Tamandua tetradactyla: one gene and its partner. The protein of the gene in region 1 purifies or fractionates together with the protein of each later gene. This does not show direct contact. Links are inferred from orthologs where the notes say so. Each region holds a gene or a part of one and is shown in the gene's direction. Other genes may lie near its edges.

Region 1 (8,082 bases):
TGCTTACTTGAACAAGCAAGCTTTTCTCTGCCTCAGGTTTCAGTCAGATGTCATGTCCTCAATGAGACTTTCTCTGACCACCCTGTCTAAAGTAGCAGTTTCCATCACCTTTCCACCATTATATCAAATCAGACCACTTTGCACCATCTGAAAGTATTGTCTCTATTTAACACCCCTTCCTCCCCAAAACTAGAACAAAGTTCCATGAGATCAGGAACCTTGTCTTTCTTATTGCCTACTGTTTTCCCAGCACCTCACACAATACTTAGTACTTAGGAGGCACTAAATAAACGTTTGGTGGATGAACATACATTTTCCTTCCTGGCCTCCCTGACCTCCCTTCCTCCAACTCACCCTCCACCCTGCAGCCAGGGAAGCTTTGGAAAATGCAAATCTATCCAAGTCAGCTCCAGGCTTATAAACTCCCATTGACTTCTTGTGGCCCTCAGGATAAAGTTCAGACTCCCTGTTTCTGGAGTAAGATTTCTGGGGAAGGGGATGAAACAGTGACTAGAAGTAAGGGTCCAGTCAGTTTGGCGAGAGCCTTAATGCCAGCTTTCAGACTTGGGCTTTAGCCGGCAGGCCCTGGGAGCCATCAAAGGCTTCTGAGTCAGGCAGGTATGTGACCAATATCAAAGATATATCCGTGTGGAGTGTAGGTGGGGCACGAAAGAGATGGGGGGGCTGGAAGCCCAGGCAGAAGGCTACTGGAATGGTTCCAGTTGTAACGGGAAGGGTCCAAAGTTAGAAGAACGTTGATTCTAGAAATATTTAGGATATGAAATGGACTACCCTTAGTGAAAGAACATGTTGGGAGGAAGAGAAAAGAAAACTTTCACTTTTTCCTAGCTTCCTTCCTTTATTCAACATTTATTGAGCACCTACTAGATGCCAGCAAACAGGACAATCAAGGTCCCTGGTCTCACAGAGTGAACATTGTGCTGCAGGAGGCAAATGAGGAGGCTAACAATTAAGAAAGTATAACTTGTGATTGGGGCACGTGCTGGGAAAGAAATTAAAAAGCATGAGATCAAAAGTAAGTGGGGTGCAGCCCCTTGTAGAGCAGTGTGGGTTCCACAGGAGGCTAGGGATGGTTGCCATGTGATCCTGAAACCCCATTGCTCAGTATATTCCTGGAGGAACTGAGTGTGGGGACAGGAATGGACATTTGTACACTTGTGTTTATGGTGGCAGTATTCCTGATCCACAATGAATGAAGGTGGGGCACAATGACGGAGGAATGGAAGTGGGTACTATGGTGTACACATACACTGGACTACTGAATCTCCACCAGAAGGAATGAAGTTGTGCAGCATGCAACTAGATGAATGAAGTTAAAGAGCTGTATGTTAAATGAAATGTCAGGAACAAAAAGACAAATATTATCCCGCTTCAACTATATGGACTAACTATAATATAAAAATCTGGTGAACTACAGTCGAGAGCATGGGTTATCAGGTTGGGGGTTATTGTAAAGGATCCTAGATTGTAAGCTCTGAAAGCAGTCGTAAATGTTTAGGAGTGTAACTGTTATTTCTAAATTCTGAGATACTGAGGTGTTTGCATATAACATGGGTTTTCCCAGAAACTTCGGGTATTTGTGTGACACCTGAGACTCAGAGTCAGAGCTCTGAAGCTATCAAAGTCAGCAGTACCCCATACAGGAACTGTTTAAAGAGTTGAAAAAGTGATCAGACTTCGAGTAGAGATATGAATGAAGATGATATCATCCGTATCTTAAAACTTCAACTTCTGTGTCAGACTAAAGGGAGAGAAGTCTATTTGGTGCAAGATTTATATTTTGGGTAGTGCATTTCCTGATTTAATTTGTATAGTCAGTTTAGTTGAACACCATAGATACAGGGAATCTTGAATAGGGCATGAGATTTTATTGGTTGTCCAAGTTAATGTGATGGCCTGATAAATTCCAGAGTGATATGGACAGTGAATAAAGAAGTATTTGTAAAGTCCCCTTGGGGGAATTGGGAGAAAGAGGGAAAGATGCAACTTCCCCATTTAGAGAATTTCTGATACTCTCACAAGCAATGGGGACAACCAAATCAATAGGCCAACCCCTCGATCTTGGGGTTCATCCCTATGAAACTTATTCCTGCAAAGGGTAGGCTAAGCCTGCTTAAAATGAGGCCTAAGAGTCGTCCCTAGAGAACCTCTTTTGTTGCTCAGATGTGGCCTCTCTCTCTAAGCTGACATGGCAAGTGAACCCACTGCCCTCCCCCATCTACGTGGGATATGACTCCCAGGGGTGTATATCTTCCTGGCAACATGGGACAGGAATCCCAGAATGAGCTGGGACCCAGCATCAAGGGACTGAGAGAGCCTTTTTTAAAAAAATTTATTTATTAATTAAAAAGTAAAGAAACAAAATAAAACATACATAATCAGTAATTCACAATATCATCACTTAGTTGCATATTCATCATTTCTTAGAAAATTTGCATTAATTCAGAAAAAGAAATAAAAAGACAATAGAAAAAGAAATAAAACGAACACAGGAGAGAAAGCCTTCTTGACCAAAAGGGGGAAGAGAGAAATAAGGCAAAATAAAGTCAGTGGCTGAAAGATTTCAAACAGAACTGAGAGGTTATCCTGGAGGTTATTCTTACACATTATACAGATATCCCTTTTCAGTTTATAGTGTATTTGAGTGGCTAAAGGGAAGTGCCTGAAACTTTGGAGCTGTGTTCCAGTAGCCTTGTTCCTTGAAGATGATTGTATAATGATATAGCTTTTACAATGTGACTGTGTCATTGTGAAAACCTTGTATCTGATACTCCTTTTATCTAAGATATGGACAGATGAATAAAAAATATGGATAAAAAATAAACAGATAATAGGGGGAACAAAGGTTAAAATAAATTGGATAGATGAAAATACTAGTGGTTAATGAGAGGGAAGGGTTAAGGGTATGGGATGTATGAGTTTTTTCTAACTTTTTATTTCTTTTTCTGGAGTGATGCAGAAAAAATGATCATGGTGATGAATACACAACTATGAGATGTTATTGTGAGCCACTGATTGTACACCATGCATGGAATGTTTGTATGTTAAGAATGTCTGTATTTGTATGTTGTTTCACCAATAAAAATATTAAATAAAAAAAAGTAACTGGGGAGAAGGAAGGGATCAGGGTAGGCCCTTTAAATGCTGAGACCCGACCGAACCGAGTGATGAAGGAACCAGCCCCCTTGAGTTGCTGTGCTACAGATCCCAGAAGAAGAGCAGCGAGTGCAGAGGCCCTGAGGGTGGGAAAGCCTGTGAGTTGGAGGCTGGTGCACTAGGACAGGCACGAAGGATGGGGTGGAGAACACAGGCAAGGGCTGTGGTTTGGAGGTTTTCTTTTAGGTAGGTTAGAAAACCCCCTGAACTGTTTTAAGCAGAGAACTGACATGCTCCAGCAAGAAGGCTGGTGATGGGGACACGTGTGTCAGCAGGGAATCGAATGAAGGGGATCAGAGGGAGTTTGTTGAATAACAATGCCCCACTCTTTCCCCTCCCAGCCACAAAGCTGTTCAAAGGGAAGTGGGGCTCTGCCACCTGGAGGGTCCCCTGGGGTTTGCCCAGAGCAAACAGGAAGCCACAGCCCAGTGAGACAGGCATGGGAATCGGCAACTGAGAAAGTGGGTCTCTTGGGTCCCTCAATCCTTTCCCTCAGTGCCTATAGCAGTGAAGACAAAAGATACCGAGAGAGAGAGAGAGAGAGAGAGAGAGAGAGAGAGAGAGAGAGAGAGAGAGAGAGAGAGAGAGAGAGAGAGAGAGAGAGAGATATGAAGGAGGGAGGGAGGGGGGGAAAGGCGGGGAGGCAGAAGGAAAACAGATTTAGGAAGTCAGGACTCCTCAGTTTTAGTGTTCATTGCGCCCCCAGCTCGATGTGTGATGCTGGGCAATGCCCTGCCTTTTTTGGGGTCTCAATTTCTCCATTTCTAAATGGATTCCTTCCTTAACTGAATGCAGGAGCTACTTAGGGGAAGAACCAGGAGAAAAGAGGGCGTTATTCACCAGTCATTTCTAAGATGGCTGCCAAGGAGCTACAGAGTCTCCTGCCTGCCCCCCACACTGTCAAGCCCTCTCCTGGCTTTATGTGTGTTGACTGATTCATTCTTAGAACAATGGATGGGGGGCCGGAGGTTCTCTCCTCATCACCCCCAATTCACAGGGAAGGACACTTGCCCAAGGGTTTGAATCCAGGCAGACTGGCTCAAACCTGTGGTTTTAGCATTCACTGTGCTGGGCATTGAGCTAAAAATGCCATATACCTACTGTTCTGTCTAATCTTCACGAACAAGCTTTGGGTAGTTGTAGCATTATCTGCAATTTACAGAGATGGAAACTGAGGCTTACAGAAATGAAGAAATTTAGCCAGGTAGTAGAGGCGGAGGATTAAAACACAGGTCTGGCAGATCCCAAAGTGTATGGGATGGGTTAGTGGTTCAGGATAGAATAAAAGCCCAAGAATTATCAAATGAATGAATGGAATGGGTTTGTTGAAAGAATGAGTGGGAAATGGATTTGGAGCCTGGGGTAGGGAGGAGGGAGAAGCAGAGAGCCCCTAAGGTTGAATTCACTCATTCAACAAGTATTTCTTGGGCACCTACTCTGCCAAGCACGGTTTTAGGGCCCTCGGCATTTAGTGGTGAATAAGACATAGTCTCTGCTGTGAGGGGGAAACAGAAAGTGAACACGCAGGCACACAAATAAGACCATTTCACATGGTTGTAAGCACTGGGATGAAAATAAAACAGCGTAGCAGGGAAGAGGCGAGCTTTGTGAGTCTGGTGGGGTGCTTGAAGAAGGGGGCCTGAGGCGTGACCACCCCTTCCTCCCCGGGGGGACTGCCCACCCGCCCCCATAGACGCCCATGGTTCAGTGCCCCCCCAGCCCCCGCCTGCCCAGCATCCTCTGCGCAGCAAAGCTGGGCTTCCTGGGGAGTCTGGCCACCATGCCGCCTCCTCTCCTCCTCTCCTTCCTCCTCTTCCTGATCCCGGTGGGAGTCAGACCCCAGACCCCAGTGCTGGTGGAGGCTGAAGGTAGGTCCGGAGGGCATGGAGGGTAGGCAAAGGGGTTGGAGACCTGGGTTCTGGCTGGGTGGCTTGGCCAAGTAACTTACTCTCTCTGGGCCTCCATTTTCTCATTTGTAAAATTTGGGGAGGGATAGGAAGGAGTCTGAGGACCCATCCACTCCCCACCTGTGGGGTCTGGGTTAGGCCCCAGTGTAAGGAGTGACGGGAGAGTCTTCTCTATCTCTGCCTCTCTCCACAGAGGGAGGTAATGCCTACCTGCAGTGCCTCACAGGCCCCTCGGACGGACCTTCCCAGCAGCTGGCCTGGTCCCGCGGGTCCCAGTCAGCACCCTTCTTAAGGCTGAGCATGAGGCTCCCAGGCCTGGGCATTCAGATGGGACCCCTGGGCATCCTGCTGCTCATCTTCAACGTCTCAGACCAGATGGGGGGCTTCTACCTGTGCCAGCCAGGGCCTCCCTCTGAGAAGGCCTGGCAGCCTGGCTGGACAGTCAGTGTGGAGGGCAGCGGTGAGGGCTGGGCCCAGCTGGGGAAGGGTGGGCTGAGACAGAAGAGGGAGGCCCACCTGAATGAAGGAGTTCCCGGGGCCAAAACTGAGCTGGAGGGAGAGGCTGGGGCTGGGGGGCCCTGTGGGACAAGCAAATGGGCGGGACTCAATGGCTTCAAAACGGAGCTGCACCCAACCCTTCTGTCTTGTACTCTCTGCTCTCTCTACCTGAGTCTCTGTTTGTCCTCCGGCTCTTCTTTGGATCATTGTTGCCATTTGTCTCTGCCTTCTGGGCCTCAGCATCTCTTTCCCTCTCCTGGATGTCTCTGTACCTGGTTCCGGCTCTCTTCCCAGGGGAGCTGTTCCGGTGGAACGCGTCAGACATAGACCACCCAGGCTGTGATCTGGGGAGCAGGTTTGCAGAGGGCTCCAGGCTCTCTTCTGGTCCCCCCACCAGCTCCCAGCTATATATATGGGCTAAAGACCAACCTGAGATCTGGACGGCGGACCCTACATGTGCCCCACCTGGGGACAATCCAAACCATGGCCCCAACCAAGGTAAAGTGACAGGAACTGGCAAGAAGCAAGGAAGTGGAAGTTTGTGTATGTGAGTGTGTGGGGGGGTGCAGTAGATGGAGACTGGGAACTGGAGGGCTTGCGGGGGATGGGACCAAGGACCAAGCTTTCCTAACCTTGGTTCCTTCTACCCTAGATCTCACGGTGACCCGTGGCTCCACACTCTGGCTGTCCTGTGGCATGCCTCCAGATGTCGTGGCTACGGGTCCCATCTCCTGGATCCATGTGCGCCCCAAGGAGCCTGAAATCTCATTGCTGAGCCTAGAACTGAGGGAAAATCCCCCAGTCAGAGAGATGTGGGTTCTGGGGACCCTCAGGGAAAGGGCTCTTCTATTGCTGCCCCAGGTCACAGCTCAAGATGCTGGCACCTACCACTGTCACCATGGCAATGTGACCACCGACTTGCAGTTGAAGGTTATTGTCCGGCCAGGTAGAGAGTTTTTCCCAATTGTGGGCCATCTGTGTGGGGATGCTGGGAAGAAATGGCAGGTAGTCCTCCTTGGACTCTAAACCTAAGGGCTAGTACCAGCCTCACCCTGTACCCCACTTCAACCTTGACCCTCAACTCTTTTCTCCCTCACTTCCTGTACTACTCATTTGTCCTTCCCATCAGCTTTGGTAAGGTCTTCCTTCCTCTTCCACCTTTCACTGCTAGAGCCCTGGTCCTCTTCTCATCTCTGTCCACACTGTCATCCTTGTATACACACTCTCCTTCTTTAACCTCCTTTACTTCCATGGCTGCTTGCACATTCCATGCCCCATACCTAGCTGTCTCCTGGACATTGCCATTTGATGTCCCATGGACACTGAAGACTCAACATCTACAAAATCATCATCTTCCTCCCCAAGTATGGTCTTCTGGGTGGTCCTGTGTAAGGAAGGGCATCACCACCTGCCCACTGGCCCAAACCAGGAACCGGGGTGTCCTTCCTTTTCCTCAACTCATTCATCAAGTTGGTCACAATGTTCTATCCATTCTGTTTCCTTGATCCAATCCTACCATGCTAGCCTAACCACAATTCTCAAACTCAGTCTCAACTTTCACTACAGACGTGACCTCAGCAATGTGCCAGATCCCAACTCTCACCTCCTGAACTCAATTCAGCTCTTGACTTTGACCATGACTGATTCTTATGCTCCCCTTAATCCTAACATGCCCTTGACTCTAGTCATGGTTTGTTCATTCATGGCGCCAGGCTTCATGGCACATCCCTGGCCTCCTAGGACACAGCTCCTTAGAGAGGGAGGGACGAGTGTTGTCTTTGTATCTTGGTTGAGGTCTTGACACTGGGAAGTAAGGTGCCAGTCCTGGGTCCTCGTCTCAAAGCCCCTTTCCTCTAGCAGTATGGCGCTGGCTCCTGAAGAATGGTGGATGGAAGGTCCCAGTTGTGACTCTGGTTTACCTGATCTTCTGCATGGGTTCCATAATGGGCTTTCTTCTTTTTCGAAGGGGTAAGTCATGTTCCCCAGGTGGTCTGCCCAAACCCTGCTCCATCTTCCTCAGGATAATCCCACACTGATAACCTTCTTTCCTCCCATTCCCTCCTTCCATCCCCAAGGACCCCAGAATCCTTTGCCCCACTCCTCCTCGAACCCCCTCAAACTACCATCTCCTCCACTGGCCTGAGTGCTTTCCCTAGAACCCCCCCAAGTCCTCACCCCGCCAAGCAGCCCCTGCCTCTGATCACTCTCAACTCCCACCAGCCCTGATTGTGAAGAAGAAAAGGAAGAGAATGACTGACCCCACCAGGAGGTAACACGGGAGTACCCCCCTCCCCCACCTACAGGCTTTCACTTCATGCTTTGCACTTAACTGTTCCCTGTGCTGGGGGTGAAATATTTCCTAACTCCAAAGCTATCTCCTCTGTGAAGTCTGGCTTGGAGTGATCCCAGGCTCCTCTCTCCTCTGAAGGCTGTCCCACCACAGAGGAGCTAATTATAAGTGGACACCCTTTAACCTCCGAGGGCCTGGCCTCAGGGTGCA
Region 2 (8,569 bases), on another chromosome or scaffold:
CCTTCAAGAGTATCTGTAGTTTCCGATATACAAACCTTGCACTTCTTTTGTAAAATGCTTCCTAGGTATTTCATCCTTTCTGCTGCTATGATAAATATGGGGTTATATGGGATTGTGTCTTCAATTTCATTTTGGCGTTGTTCGTTACTGGCGTAGAGAAATGCAATTGATTTTTGTCCACGGATGCTGTGAGCTGCCACGTTGCTGGATGGGTTTATTAATTCTATGAGATTTTTTAATGGACTTCTTAGGATTTTTTCTACATGAGAGCATTCATTTGCAAACTGAGATAGTTTTAAGTTCTTTCTTTCCAATCTGGGTGCCTTTTACTTAATTTTCTTGTCTAGTGGCCCTGGCTAGAACTTCCAGTCAAATTTTGACTAAAAATGGTGAAAGCTGAATCCTTGCCATGGGGGAAGGGTTTCAGCGTTCACGTATGAGGCTGGCTGTGGCTTTTGAGGATTCCCTTTATCAGGTCAAGAATGCTCCCTTCTGTTCCTGCTTTGTGGAGTTTTTGTTTTTCATCTTGAAAATGTGTTGGATTTTGTCAAATGCTTTTTCTGCATGAAAAGAAAATTGAGACGTTTCTGTGTTTTTTTGTTTGTTTGTTTGTTTTTGTCCCTTATGTGCTAATACGCTGTATCACCCTGACTGATTTTCAGTTAGGCCCTCCCCACCCTTGTTTTTCCACTACGAAGCTGTCCCACCCCGTGCCTGCCCTTATCTGCCAACCCCCAGTGACGGCCATCAGCTCCCTTGCTACAGCCTCTCCGAATAAGTCACCCGTTTGTCTGTATTTCGGTGGTTTTCAGTTATTCCCAGGGGTGGGCTCCAGGGGGTGCTGAGCGGCCGGCTCCAGGAGCCCGGGACAGTGGACCCCCGGAGGACACAACTTGCCCGGCGCCGGCTCTGCTAAGGTGACCCCGCCCTCATGGCTGTGCTGTTTGCAGGTCTAACCCACCCAGACCCCCGGCTGCATCCGGGACCCCGCCAGAGTTGCCTGGTATCAGTGCCCTGTGGCGGCTGTAACAAAGCACCCCATTTCGGTTAGCTAAACTGCCAGGGTGCTACAAACCAGAAATGGGTTGGCTTTTGCAACGGGGGTGCAAAAAATTGCAGCTTACAGTCTGCAATTCTAAGGCCATGAAAGTGTGCCAATTGAGGCATTGACAGGACGATACCTGGACTCTGAAAACGAGCTGCTGGCATCCAGGACACCTCTGTCATGTGGGAAGGCACATGGCCGGGGTCTGCTGGTCCTTTGCTCCCAGGTTTCATTGCTTTCAGCTCCTGGTTCCAGTGGCTTCCTCGCTGAGTGTCTGCGTCCTCTCTTAGCTTCTCCAGGGCTCTTCTCTATAGGCTCTCTTGGCTTTTCCTGTCCTTATCATCTCATAAAGGGCTCCAGAGAAGGATTAGGGCCCAGCTTGCATGGGCCCGGTCACATTTCAAACGAAGCAACCTAAACAAAAGGTCCCCGCCCACGACAGGTTTGCCCCCACAGAAATGGATGAAAAGAACACGGCTTTTTCTGGGGCACACACCCCACACTGGGAGGATGAAAGCAACAGAAATACCGTCTCTCATAGCTCTGGAGGCCAGAGACCGAAATCAAGGCGTTGGCAGGGTTGGTTCCTTTGAGAGGCTCTGAGGGTGAGCTCTTGCTTGCCTCTTCCCACTCCTGGGGGTCCCCCCCGGCTTGCGGCAGCAATACACTGTCTCCTCTCGGTGTCTTTCCCTGGCCTTCCTAGAAGAGCAGCTTTTTATTAGAAGACCCACTCCAACTCAGAATGACCTCAATTTTTACTAATTCTATCTGCAAAGACCCTATTTCCAAATACGGTCATGTCCTTGGGGTCCAGGTGGACATCAGTTTTAGGGGAACATCACCCAACCCAGTACAGAGCAGGAGACCGAGCCACAGCCGGCTGGCCTGCTGTCCCCATGCAGCCACTGTCTCCTCATTACACCCTGTGCTGGCTGGAAAGTATTATGTACCCCAGAAAAGCCATGTATTAATCCTGACTGAATCTCGTGAGGGCAGCTTTTTCTTCTCATCCTGATTCAATATCGCATGGTGGAAAGTTTCGATTCGATTATCTCCATGGAGACGTGACACGCCCAATTGTGGGTGTAATCTTTTGATTTAATGGAGATGTGACCCCACCCATTCTAGGTGGGTCTTGATTAGATCATTAGAGTTTTTAAAAGGGGAAACAATTTGGAGAAAGGACAGAAGCCTCAGAGCCAACGGAAACTTCAGAGCAGAGCTGACACTGATGCCAACACTTGCAGAACAGAGACACAGATGGTTGGAGATGCTTGGAGCCCAGCAGACGTTGCCATGAGATGTTAAGCAAGCCAGAACCTGGAGAGAGCCAAGGGGAGGCAAGAGATGAAAGTCAGCCCTGGAGAAGCAAAGTGAGGAGCCCCCACAGGAACCGAGGCTGAAAGCAACAGAGCCCAGGAACAAGGGACCAGCAGATGCCAGCCATGTGCCTTCCCAGCTGACAGACGTGTTCCTGATGGCATCAGCCTTCCTTGAGTGAAGGTAACTTCTTGTTGGTGCCTTAATTTGGACATTTTTCAGCTCTAGAACTGTAAACTTGTAAGTTATTAAATTCCCCCATTGTCAAAGCCCTTCCAGTTCTGTGGTATTGCATTCCAGCAGCCTGCAAACGAATGCACAACCTCAGTCCCTCTCAGGGCCCACAGCGCCTGGGCCCCGGGCATGGCCTCTGGACGGCCCCGCCTCTGCTCTGTCCTTCTCCTGGTGTCCTGGAGCTGGCCAGATGACAAAGGGGGCCCTTCCTAGGACAGGCCTGTGCCATCACTGCTGGCCGGTCCCCTGCGGTCCCCGCTGGATCAAGCCGGGGGCCACTGGGTGGGAACCTAGCTGTGTGCAGGGCATGACGTGGTGCCCCTGGGAGGGCCTGGCCTGAGCGTGTGGGCACCCCCCATGCGCAGGGCACTGGGAGGGGTCCGCCTGTACCCTCTTAGTCGTGCTCCCTGCCAGCTTGTGGGGCCGGGGTGTCCTTCCATGGCGGGCCGAGGCAGCCTCCTGACCCTTCTCCTTGCTGCCATGTGGGCCACCCTTCAGTCAATCCCCCCGGGAAACCGGAGCCCCCCACTCCCACTGCCACTCCGAATCCAGGGCACCTTCCCTATGCTTCAGGACCTCATGCTGGCCTGCCTGCCCCCAACCCCTCCCTGCCTGCCCCTGACCTTCCTGCCTGCCCCCCAACTGCCCCCCTGACTTCCCTGATTGCCCCTTCGAGTGTCCTGCCTGCCCCTGACTTCTCCACCTGCCCCCCAACTGCCCTGCCTTCTCCTCTGCCCAGCCTCAGCCCTGTCCCCATAACTCCCTCTGCCCCTATCCCACTGGCCTCCTTCCTGCTTCTCCAAGGCACCTGGCCCCTCCCCCCTGCCCAGTGAATGCCCCTCCCTGCCCTCTGCAGGATTGCCCTCTACGCACCCTCAGGGCTCAGGGTCTGGTGGCTCAGTGGGACCCGCGGCTCAGCACGTCCTCTGTGAGCCACGAGTGACCTGTGCAGGGCCGGCTGCTCCTGGGAAATAAGGGGCTTATCTGAATCTCACGGGGAGGGCGGGCTCTGCAGCCAGCCACCTTCCGGAACACAAAGGGATGGGGGATTTCGCAACGTTCGCTACTCTCCAGGTTCCCAGGGTCAGTCTGATCACCCAGCTCCCCCACCGGAGCCCAGGGCCCTCAGGGGAAGGCGCCCTGGCTGCCCAGTCCCCAGCCGGGCCCCGGCACCGTGTCTGGTATGTAGCAGGTGTCCAGCAGGTGTTCTCCACGACTGCAGAAGGGAGAGAACGAGCCGGCCATAGCCCCCACACCCCTCCTTGTCACTTAGATGCAACTTGTGATGGGACAGCAGGTGCCCAGAACACCTGGGTGACTGTTTCCTTCCATCACTGTTCCGTCTCCTTTAAGTGAAACAAACACTCCCTGACCCCGGGGAAGACTTACTTTTATTATCACGTCACATAGATAGGCACAAAAAACTAGCTCTAAACTCACGCTTGCAGCTCTTGTCCAAGTACAAAACCAACACAGATTTACAAATTAACCAGAGAAGACGACAGAATTAAGTAGAAGCAGCTGAGACTGATGGCTGGTTATCCGAATTTCAGCTACCCCTAAATTCTATTAAAAATGCAGTTCTCAGAGGCACCAGCCACACTTCACCGGCTCAAAGGTCACAAACAGCCAGGTGTCAGGCAGACACAGGGCTTTCGGCTATGGCAGCTGCGGGAGTGGCGGGTGGGGTGGGGTAGCTCCTAAAGGGTGGCTCTGTGGTCCGGAGGGTGGGGCGAACCGTGAGTGGGCTCTGCCTGGCCCTCCCTGTTTCTCTGGGCAAGAATGGGCAGAAACTTCATCTGTGGGTCACCCACCCCCACACCGTCCCCATGGGTCTCCCTTCCTCACTGCCCCAAGCCGGCGGGGGCGGGGGCCTGGCCACCAGGCTTTGGGGACCACAGCGGGAAGTGGGGCCTGGCGCCCCGGGGGGCTCCGGCCCCTCCCAGGGGATGAGGGGAAGCACAGCCTGCTTGACCGTCCTCCCGCCGGCCCAGACCTCCCAGCCAGCCCGCGCTGGTCTGCGGGAACCCCGTGGGGACACCAATGGACTGCCCGCACTCCCACCCCCCACGCCGCGCGCGGGCCCGACTCTGGACTCCCGGCGGCCCCGCGCGCTCGGGCCGCTGCGGGCAGCGGGCGGGGCGGGGGGCGGGGAAGGGGCGGGGCCTCGTGCGTCCTATAAGAGGCGCGGAGCGGGGCGCGCGCACGGCCAGAGAGCGAGCGCGCAGCAGCAGCAGCGGCCGCGGCGACCCGAGCGCGCACCGACCAGGCCTCCCGCGCCCCCCCCGCGCCCCCCGCGCCGCGTCCCTGACCCCCGGCCTCCCCCCGGCCCCTCGGCGCCCCCGCCCGCCGCCCAGGCCCGGCCCCCGCCGCTCCCGCCGCCATGGGGGTGGAAGGCTGCACCAAGTGCATCAAGTACCTGCTCTTCGTCTTCAATTTCGTCTTCTGGGTAAGCGGCGCCGCCGGAGGTCGGGGGGCGGGGTGGTTCCTGCGGGGACGCCCCGGACTCCCGCAGGCCGGGCCCCGGCTAGGCCCGAGCGCAGGCGGCGGCGCAGCCCGGCCGCGGCCCGCCAAGTTGCGGGGCCACCTGTGGGCGCCCGGCCTGCGTGCCCGGGGCGCGGGGGCTCGCCCGTGGTCGCTGCGCCCCTGCCCGCGGGGTCGGCGCGGGGTTACGGGACGCCCGGGCCTCTGTGCGTCAGGGGCTCCGGGCCGCGCGGCCGGGCCGGGGCATTTGGGGGGCCCTGGGGGGGGGTGACGTCGGCGCTCGGAGCCGCCGATCCCCACATGAGGGACTGGAGTGGGGGCTGCGGGACCCGAGGCCGCGCGCGCGGGCACCCCTCGGTGGGGGACGGCCGCAGCCCGCTCTCCCGAGCGGCTGATCCCGGGACCACCCTACTTAGGGGGGCGGGAGGGGGCTGGGGCGGGGCTCTTGGCGCCCCGCCCCCATGAGCTCATCGGGGCCACCGCCCCTGCGTCGGCCCACTGGCCCAGGCTTTGGGACCGTCCACAGCCCCCCCTCCAGCCCAGCCTCCAACCGCTGTGACCGCTTCTGAATCCTGGGGTCAGGAAAGCAGTGGGCTTGGCTCAGGCGTGTCTGCGTGTTGGGGTGCCTGCCCCCGCCTCGTCTGCCCATCCGTCGTGGGACCTCAGCCCTGGCCTTGTCTCCCATGCACCCTGGAGTGGGTGTGGGGGAGGGGGAGGGACTGCCGTGGAGGGGAGGGGGGGCCGGCGTCCCGAGTGGGCTCAAGACAGGGTCCCGGCACCAGTACCCAAGTCCTGGGCGAGAGCTTGCCTTCTGGGAAGAGGGACCCATGCTGTGGTCACCTCTGATGATGAATTTTTGGGGGACTGGAGAGTCTCCCTGGAGGAGCTGCTTTCTTCTGCCCTGCCTGAACTGCTGGGAATTCCCCGGGGGTGCGCTTTTCCTTTTGTTTCCATTTCCCGTTAGCCCTGGAATCTGGGAGCAGAGGGAGACTCCTTCAGGACTGGGGGCAGGGAGGTTGCTGGTGGGGGGCTGGCCTGACCGCGGGTCCCTTCCCTTGCTGCCCCTCCATCCCGGGCATGAACTCCCTCTCTCACAGGGGACAGTGGCCCGCATCTTTGTGGAGTCCAGCAGGGTAAACTTGCAGATGTCCCCCAGGCAGGCGCGTTTGGGCCTGGCACATCTGTTTCCCATCTGGACACTGAGGATGCTTGCGGGGGCAGTGAGGTATTTGGGAGGGGGGTGGGGGGACAGAGACTGGACTGAGCACCCAAGAGAGGGGTCGTGCTGTCCTTCTCCAAGCTGGGCTATACTGCAGGAGGGCACGGGGTCCCTCTGGCCAGGGCTGGGTGGGAGTTCCCAGCTGGGGGTCCTGGAGTGCTGGCTTCAGCATGTTTAAAGTCTGCCTGCCTTGGCCCCAGGAGACTGATATGGGATGTCCCAGTGGCGTCTCTGCTTGGATTTGGGGGTGTCGACCCTGGTTGGAAGGGAGGCACAGGCACAGGGAAGGGACTTGTGTTCCTGCCTCCTGGGACCCTGCTGGGCGAGTCCCTCCCGCACCTCCCCTGGGAGCTGGGCCAGTCGGCCGTTGTTTCCCCCCTCCCCCCCGCAGGGGTGGCAGTCTAACGAGTCCCCGGGGGGGCTGCTCTTTATTATCGAGGCTCCAGGAACGGCTTCTGAGCTGAGCCTCTCTGCCCTGTGCGGGAGCTGGTGGGCCACCTATCCAAGCACTTTGAGACACAGGAGCACCCACCCACCCCCTGGGCCCTGGGGGGGGGATGCAGAACAGAGTAGGGTGGGGCTGGCCGAGCCCCTGAACCACTTGGAGTGGGAGCTGGGTGGAGTCCGGCCTTGGCTTCCTGCCCTGTCCTAGGGGTCCCATTTCCCGGGGTTGTTGGTGACTTGGCACAGGGTGGGGGGGCAGGAGATGGGCGTTGGATGTGATGGCCAGCAGGGCAGCAGCCATGATGGGTCAGTGTGGCAGTGCCTGGGGGCCATCCCACGTGACATGGCTCTTCCACTCTATCCTGGCCCAGGTGCCCCTACATGGACACTCGCTCGCTCTCACTTGCCTTCCTCCTCCGGCCAAGACCCAGGCAGTGTGCAAAACCTGTTCTCAGCATGGGTCAGGAGCTTCCTGGTGGAGACAGCTGGCACCCAAGGGCGGGGCGGGGATTCCCTCGTGCCTGTTTTACCCCCAGTTCCCCTGGGCACTGGGGAGCTGCTCTCAGGCTGGCTGGTAGGAGCATATCTGTGGTTTGTCCAAGACGGGCTGGCCGCAGCCGAGGATGCTTGGCCCGTGGGTGCTTACACCCTCCAGATTGCGCAGGACTCAGGCACGGGGGAACCCGGGGACCCCATGGGTGCTAGCTTGGGCCCCGGGGACCCTGTGGGTGCTGGCTGAGGCCAGCCCCTCTCCCACCCTCCCCAGGCAGCATGTGAGACACTCCCCCGCTTTGATCCCTCAGGTCTCACCCTTGCCCACCCCTGTGTGGTCACTCTGTAAATTGACTTCCCTGTCTCCTGACAACTTCTAAGCCCACATGGGGAGATGGACCCCCAGGCCCCCCACGCTTTCAGTTTCCAGGCTGAAATCCCACCCTGGGGAGAGCTTTGGTCATGAAATCAGTCCAGCCTTGAGTTCTGGGACCAGGCCGAGGAAGGGCTGCCTGGTGGCCCCGGGGGACCCCTCCCAGAAACCCCTGAACTTCCTCGGTGCCCCTACTTTATACTTCTGGGCCTAGCCTCAGCTCCGCCTCTGGGGGTGCTGCAGAGCAAATGCTGAGCCCTGTGAGGACACTTTGGGGACCCTCCAGGCAGCCCCCAGACGCAGGAGTACTGACTGCGGATTTCACGCCAGGGCTGCTGCCGTCCAGGCTCACGCCTGGTGCCGGCTGAGGCTGGGGTGCAGGGAGGCATGTCAGAGCCTCGCTGCTTGGGGCAGGGGCACAGGGGTGCCTGGGAGCAGGGAGCCAGCTGGCTGGGAGGAGAATCCCCCTTGTCTAAGCTCAGAAAGGCCATGTGCCCCTCCTACTACCCCCAAGCTGCAGGTCACGTGCCACGAGGAGGGCAGCTGGTGCCTGGGCGTGACCCCTGCCTGTGCTGGTTTGTCGCCATGCGACCTGATGGTACGGACTGATCTAGAGTTGCTCTAGCACCAGGTGGTCGTTTGCTCTCAAGGTGTGTTTAAGGGTGCCCAGGCCTGCCGTCCCTGCCGTGCCGTCGGTGGGGGGGTGAGGGTTTGCCCAGCATACGTGACTGCCTGGCCATGGGTGTGGTGCTGTGGCCGGAGCGCAAGGGAGGGCTAAGGGCTGCCCACCTGCCCCTCTCCCCTGTCTTGGTGCCAGGGGGTCCTGGTGGGGCTGAGGGGCTCCCGAGGGGTAGCGGGTCTAGAATCACGGGTTTCAGTCTTTGCTCACGGAAAGCTCATCCCGTCACATAGCTGCCTGCCTGTCTTGGCCAAATGCCCAGGCCTCCACGGCCAGAGG

What was found.
Region 2: the proteins of CD19 (region 1) and CD81 purify together in Homo sapiens (affinity purification with western blotting, with the first as the bait; 3 studies listed by BioGRID). This does not show direct contact. The link is inferred for Tamandua tetradactyla from reciprocal best matches to the Homo sapiens genes CD19 and CD81.

What each region holds. Positions count from the first base shown.
Region 1 is NC_135349.1:25,081,879-25,089,960, forward strand, and holds the start of CD19 (B-lymphocyte antigen CD19), read left to right. Parts: upstream 1-4,909; 5' UTR 4,910-4,957; coding exon 4,958-5,045; intron 5,046-5,277; coding exon 5,278-5,544; intron 5,545-5,876; coding exon 5,877-6,080; intron 6,081-6,234; coding exon 6,235-6,528; intron 6,529-7,439; coding exon 7,440-7,550; intron 7,551-7,802; coding exon 7,803-7,851; intron 7,852-8,082. UniProt on the Homo sapiens protein: Functions as a coreceptor for the B-cell antigen receptor complex (BCR) on B-lymphocytes. Decreases the threshold for activation of downstream signaling pathways and for triggering B-cell responses to antigens.
Region 2 is NC_135335.1:2,264,450-2,273,018, forward strand, and holds the start of CD81 (CD81 antigen), read left to right. Parts: upstream 1-4,928; 5' UTR 4,929-4,982; coding exon 4,983-5,048; intron 5,049-8,569. UniProt on the Homo sapiens protein: Structural component of specialized membrane microdomains known as tetraspanin-enriched microdomains (TERMs), which act as platforms for receptor clustering and signaling.